Linked DNA regions of Mus musculus: region 1 is reported to be linked to region 2. Evidence: microRNA targets listed by miRTarBase, many of them from high-throughput screens and not tested one by one. Region 2 holds a microRNA gene; the other region holds the end of a gene's coding sequence.

Evidence for each region. Region 2 holds the annotated microRNA mmu-miR-323-3p (CACAUUACACGGUCGACCUCU, at 992-1,012, opposite strand). A microRNA usually pairs through its seed, bases 2 to 8, with sites in the 3' UTR of a target mRNA and lowers its output. Matches are read on the target gene's strand: a 7mer-m8 pairs with bases 2 to 8, a 7mer-A1 pairs with bases 2 to 7 and ends in A, and an 8mer does both.
Region 1: miRTarBase lists Ccser1 as a target of mmu-miR-323-3p. Seed matches in the 3' UTR shown: 7mer-m8 at 2,468-2,474 and 7mer-m8 at 906-912.

What each region holds. Positions count from the first base shown.
Region 1 is chr6:62,379,629-62,383,045 of GRCm38, reverse strand. It overlaps Ccser1 (coiled-coil serine rich 1), which reads right to left. Exons shown (of 11, transcript NM_183310.2): 11 at 183-3,261. The coding sequence ends at 2,779. Among named protein-coding and RNA genes, the nearest start is that of Gm22212, 820 kb to the left of the region's middle.
Region 2 is chr12:109,710,153-109,713,569 of GRCm38, reverse strand. Mir323 (microRNA 323) reads right to left here and starts at 1,062; the gene lies at 977-1,062. Mir299a (microRNA 299a) reads right to left here and starts at 2,932; the gene lies at 2,870-2,932. Mir299b (microRNA 299b) reads left to right here and starts at 2,877; the gene lies at 2,877-2,925. It overlaps Mir380 (microRNA 380), which reads right to left and starts at 1,767; the gene lies at 1,707-1,767. It also overlaps Mir1197, Mir758, Mir411 and Mir329.

The sequences.
Region 1 (3,417 bases), not on the chromosome of region 2:
TAATTGTTATACAGTGGCAGTAAGAGTTTCATTGCATCATTTAGACAAAGATGACTGTGGATGAGAGAAGCAAAGATAGTTTTGGAAATTGCTCAAGATTCTGTGTGACACTTAGCATATAGAAATCTAGAAAACACAACAGTAGACTTGATCTAGAAAGAAAGACTCATATTCCAGTGGTTACAAAAGTGGGAATCATTTATTTCAGGTAGACACAGTTGTCCTTCAAGGAATGACTCTTCTACATCTGGTGTTGAGAAGAGTCTGCAGCAGAAATATTACATGAGTATTCAGACTTAGCTACACAAATACATGCAAAGAAGAAAAAGGAGGAGACCATTGCTTCATCAGAAAAACAAGCACTTTTTTTCCCTGGCATCATGTCTTTGGATATGTACCGCCTTGGAGAAATGTATAAAACTGTTTAATATGTGGAACAGGCTTAGAAAACTAGAGATTTTAGTACAAAGAAATCAATTCACTGAAAGAATGCCCACGCGAGGTTGTTAGAACTTACGATAGCCATACAGAGAAACTTCTGAAAGAACCCCATGCCATTGTTTCTGGCCTGCACTAACGTCATGGGCTTGCACCTTCTATAGGCCTGAGTCACACTGGGTATTACATTGAAACTAGAACACAGATGAAAATACTGATACAGAACAGTCTCAAGGTGATCGTTCCAAAAATACCCTTCCTTTCAAAAGTGAGCAGGTTATCCCAGGGTTTCTTCTTGAATGTTTCAGTTTAAAAAAGGTTTGTCAAGAAAATACTAGTGTTCAAAACATCTCTTAAAATGTCTATTAAATGACAGGGTATTTTAAATAGATTATTTCTTACAAAGTATAATTCAAAAGCTATCTTCCAAGAAAACTTAACTGTAAACGTCAAAATGCAAATGAAAAACATTACTCATTTCCTTGCATATTTTTCCATATCCTGGAGAGGAAAAAAAAAAAAAACCCTTGTTTTGTGTGTCATGCTTGGGTATTTACAGTTGTAAAATATTCTAACAATAAAAAACAATGTTCAACAGAAATCAAGCTGACTTCTACAACTAATCATTTTGTTTTATAATTTCCCAAGTTTCATCCAGCCCATATAGCACATCCACATGAGGTTTGTAGCTCCTAGAGGATGTTGGGAACGCTAAGCAGCAAGCTGCAGTGCCTTTTCCTCTTTAGCAGAATTATGAACACACACACACACACACACACACACACACACACACACACAAAACACAAGAGAGCTTGCGTGATGTACATGTCTTCGCTAGCCAAATCAACTAAGAACAAGCTTAGCCAAACTTCAATAATTAAAGCTGGGAGGGGCAACTCAGGATTCTTCCCCAAAATGTAGAGTTCAAATATATATTTTATATTAGGCAATGCATGTTCAGTGTAGTTCTATTAATAGCAGCTTAGGCAAATGGCATGCTAAAACTGCCATGTCATTTCCCATTTGTTCGTCTCATCCGTGCATGCTGATGGATTCTGTCTGATAGAGAATGCATGAAAAATAGCACGTGCACTGGGTTTGATAGTTTCATTCCATCCACTGTACTGAATGTGAGTAGTTACTAGACCTGAACTTTCTCTAAGGAAACAGTCAGTTGATACTCTTATTAAAAGAGCATGATGCTTCTATTTAGCTTTTTGGATCTATCTCCTATACACATAAGTATGCAACATATTAGACCTTACATGTCAAAGACTAATATTTGCTACAAAATGAGACTCAAGAATTTTGGTTGGAGATTTATTTTGTAGGTCCAATTGCCAAAATCCACACATTTCAATATTTTGTTGAAAGTCTAGTTGAGTGTGTAGCCAGAATTTTATATATAAGTTACAAAAAACAAACCAAAACAAACCAAACCAGTCATTCTGTTTCTTAATTTAAAAAAATCATGGCTTAATGAATGTAAAGTAAACCTAGATGTATATAAAAATAAATGAATATTTTGAAAATACAAAAAGTTGTAGCAAAAGAATATATAGTTTAGAATATTATATCTTTGAAATGTAAATGAAAAAATGTTCTTTATCCATGATGATAACTGAGTGTGCCATTTGACAAAATTATGCTGACTGTCACTTCAGTCTGTGATATTTTGACACTTTGTATATCAGTAGGAAAACAAAAATAAAACTAAAAAGCACAACTTTGTGAAGAACAGAGCTGTGACTTTCTATCCCTTATGAACTAGTGTAACTAAACATTCTAAAAACTAAAGAAATGGTCCTTCCCTCCCAATAGCTCCACAAGCTTGAATGTATGTAATAGAGACAAATGTATCTCAGGTTACATGCACACAAGCTTCATTCCACTAACAAACATACCACCTAGTATAAGCTTTAAGTCTGTTCTGCTCTTTCTAGTAACTACGTAATCTAAAGCTGTACAGTTCCTTCTTATACTTCTTCTAACCTACCTTATAATAACAGCATAAACAGAGAGCTATTTGACATTACTTTCTTGAAACCTCAATGCATATTAGCAAGTGATACAGAAAAAAATAGAAATAACTTATAGATTACATAAGCCAGCAAGATCATCTCACTCATTATACATGTATGTTTCCATAGAGAGAGCAAAGTCTTCTGAACAATTCAACCTAGTCAGTCAACATACTCAAGCTGTCATTCTTAGAAATAAAATAAAAGCCCATAAGTCTTTGCTTAGAGCTAAACATAAAAGTAGTAAAATGGGCATGACCACTCTTAGGTGACACATGGAACAGTAGTCATTTCTATTGTTCATAGGGTATAGATTTTTCTACCCATCCTGCTGGCCCAGAGTCTGGAACTCTGTTGTATGTAAATTGTGGTGGAGAAAAACATTCTTCCTGCTGTATGTGTGTAAGGAGATAGGTCCTCTGGGTGGCTGTCCAAATCTGCCTGTGAAGGTGGAGTGCTGTCGGGACAGAGCTGCTGGGTCCTTTGGTTTTTCTGAGAACATGGGCAGCCCTTCTGGCTTAGCTGCTGCCTTCAGAAAGCTCTGTCCCATAGTTGTCCTTGAGTTCTGAGTCATTTCTGATGTGACAGCTTCGTGGTTCCCCCTTGTGTGTTTCATAACTCCTCCTAATTCCTTGTCCTTCAAGAAATTGCTAAGACACAGACCTGGGAGTTGGCAGATATTCTTGTAGGGACTTGTCTGGTCAGCTGTAGAATATCTAAAACGGTCCTCGGTGGGAGTATGTATTGCTTTTCTGTCCCTTGTGCTGTGACTTTGACTCATGGTTCGATTTCGGTGTGTAGTCTGTGAAAGAAACAGAAAAGAAAAACCATCTTACAGTGTCCTGTGTAGTTAGAAATGATCATTTAAACCCTTATGTACAAACCTGAAGCTTCTCAATGAGTGTGAGCAATATAGCACAATTCCCCATGAAACTGAATCCCAGAGTATCATAATAAT
Region 2 (3,417 bases):
TACTGAAAAAAAGGTTAGCTGGGTGTGTTTCATTCTCATCAAAGAAACAGAGACCCAGAAAACCTCTCTTCCGGTACCAGAAGCGAACACTGACAAGACTACCTCGGTAATTCCCCAACGTGACCTTCAGACCTGGCAGGCCTGTTGAATGCAGGGTTGCACACTGGATGTTAGTCAAAGTGCTCAAGCAAGCCATTAGTTGATATATATCTGACAGCCATCCCATCACATGCCCCAGTACAGCAGACCTCCATGGCATGATCCTGAAGTTATGTCACAACCAGAGAGCAGTGGCGCAGTAGAGACTGGCTATAGGACTTACCACCATTTTGGGTAACCACAGAAAGGCACAGATGCCCCCAAACCAAAGATGATTCCTCCCACAGATTTAGCATGCAAGTGTGCTAAGGTGACCTGCGACCTGTGCCATATATAAATGGCATACACACACCCTGGTCATGTCTGACAACATGGTACGTTTCTTGAACTTGGATGGCCCCATATCAAGGAAGGGATCCAAGTATAGGACAGCATTGGAAGCCCATCCAATACTACCATAACAGGCACATATGTTGCAAGTACTGAGGATGCTGTCTCCAAGTCTAACAGCGTACAGCTGGCTTATTGCCTCTGTCCCCAAAAGTTGAGATCTCTTCCAGGAAGTTCTCCAAGGGAAGGTTAGATACTGAGGGTTAGTGGACCAGGTCACAAACGGCACAAATATAGCGTGTGCTCTCTGGTCAACCACCTCACGCACCCACACGTGTATCACATGTCGATGCCACTTTCCTGGTCTGCAAGTCACCCTGCCCACGAAGCTGCCAAGCCAGAGAAATTTGCTGAGAAGAAGGCTGCCACACAAGAGTTATTGTCAGACACAAGAAAAGACAAACCCGCTGGCTGGGTTGCGCTAGCACACACATTTAGTGTCCCCACCCCACAGCTGGTGTTAGCTCCAGGAAAGCTCGCAAGGCGGGATTAGATACCGCAAAGAGGTCGACCGTGTAATGTGCGCCATAAATGAAGCGAACGCGCCACGGACCACCTCTCTCCAAGTACCAAGCAGCAGCAGTAGGAAGACCGGGACACTGGCTCTTCCTCAAAGCAGATGTCACCTCCTGGAAGTCTTCCAAGGCGAGATGTGATATTGAGAAGAAGTAGACCATGTGTCCTACGTCATAAATAAAGCGTACACACCATGGTCAACCGCATCTTCAAATACCTTGAGGTAACGCTGGCTGATTCCAGCTCACTTTACTTAATTTGGTGTTACCTCCAAAATGCCTTCTCAATGAGTGTCACAAACTACCAGCAATCGGCATGTGTGGCAATGGCCACAAACTCATGTTTAATGCCACTATGACTTCCAGGATGCCCTGTAAGGCTGGGCTGGGTGCCAAATATTGGCTTTGGATCAAATGGCCAGAGTCGTAGGTAATGAACATGGCCTGTAGCCAAGCACTGGGTAATCTGTGTTGGATAGGGTCTGCCGCCTGAGCCCTACTCTCAATTGGTATGGCTTTCAGAAAGCCCCTGGTGACCGGCTGATGCAGAGATGTGGTGGACCATGCTGTACATGCTGGAATTAACGCACACACTCGACAGTCTACCATCTCCCCAAGTACTGTGCTGAAGCCAGGACAGGATATCTCCCATGAAGTTGGCTCGGTCTCTGGAAAACCCTCACGAATGACTTTGATAACGAGAAGATGTGGACCATACTACATACGACACAGAAGTAGCGCATGTTCTATGGTCAACCATCTTTTCAGGTACCATGGAGAGAGGGTGGTGCAGGAGCTGGCTTCTTTCCTCATGATTATCACTTCCAGGAAACCCTAGATGCAATGTTGAAAAGAGACCACCATGCATTGCCTGCTGCAGATGCAGAGAATATAGCAAAGAGAAGTTTGCAAGGACGCGAAGAGAAGACCCCGTAACTAGCACTGTGCCTTTAAGGAAATATTGTTCACAGGAAGCCCCCAAGGCGCATTCACTATTATGGGAAGGTGGACCAAATTAACATGCGCTGTAAGTAAAGCAAGAAGCATGGACAACCTCTACCCCAAGGCATTTGTCCTTCTGCCTTGCCCCCCCACCCCCAAGGTTAATGGGGCCTCTTTGGAAACCTTCAAAGCTGAAGTTGATATTGAAAAGAGTAGGCCAGGTTACAAATGGTGTTAATAATACACATGCAGTTTGCTTGATCCCTCTTCAGGTACCGTGAGGTCATTGCTGATGCAAGAACCAGAGCCCTGTCTCTGAGGCTAGCAGCATCTTCAGCAAGTTCTCCAAGGCTGGGCTGGAGGTAAGAAGAAGTGAGCCAAGAAGCAACTTTGATCTGTAAGCATACATGGAGGAGCCAGGCTGGGTCATCTTCCTCTAGAAGGCTAGACTTGATATGGAAAAAAAGATACTATATACGAAGCATCAGTGGAAACAGGGACTGTGTCTTCATGCATCTGTCTTTGCACTGTATCATGTAGCCCTAGCTGTCCTTCTATGGGCATAATGTCTTGAAGGCATCTGATGATAGCTTTGCAGATGATGAAAACACGCAGCATCCCTTGATGATGAGCATCTGTGGAGCTAATTGCCACTTTTTCAAGTCCTAAGGAGGGAGGGAGCATGCCCAGTTGGGATGTAGGACACCTTCCTGGAGGTTGTCATCATCCTTGAAGAAGCCCTTAAGGGCTGCACTGAAGCTGACAGGAACACCTTGCCACATGAATTAACAGAGAAAGCACACAAAAAGCAGAGGGATGTTTGGCCAAGCAGCCCGATGTAGAGAGCAAGCCAAAACAACGTTTCTTCTCTCACTTCAGGCTTGCTCGAGGATGGTATGGACTGGATGGCTGGGCTGGATACCAAGAAGCGGTTTACCGTCCCACATACATACTCAAAATGTATGTGGGACGGTAAACCATTTCTTCAAGTACCGCGTGACAGCAAGGACAGCTGTAAGAAGGTTCATGTCTGCCAGGTTGCCTCAGGACACCTCTTCAGGGATGGTGTTGAGAAGAAGCAGGTCATGGAGTCTACTAACCAAGAGTCGCCTAGACACCCCTGTCACTGAGGTCACGAAGAGCACTGATCCCAGAAAGCTTTGTGGTCTCCTCCCCAGAGATGGCAAGAGTTCCCAAGGCAGAGCTCAGCAGAGGAAGGGGGAGATTATGTCATTTCCCATCATGCAGGAAAGAACACACGCCATATTGAAAACCATCTCTTCCAGCATCATGGAGAAGCCCTGATGATGAGTCTACTGGCGTCTCCCCGAAGACAGCATCTTCTCCAGGGGCCTCGGGGATGGATTTGATACTGAGGGTTAGTGGACCGTGTTACATACGTCACAGATAAAGCGTACGCTATACGGTCTACTATCTCTCCAAGTACCACACAGAGACGCCGAGGACAAAG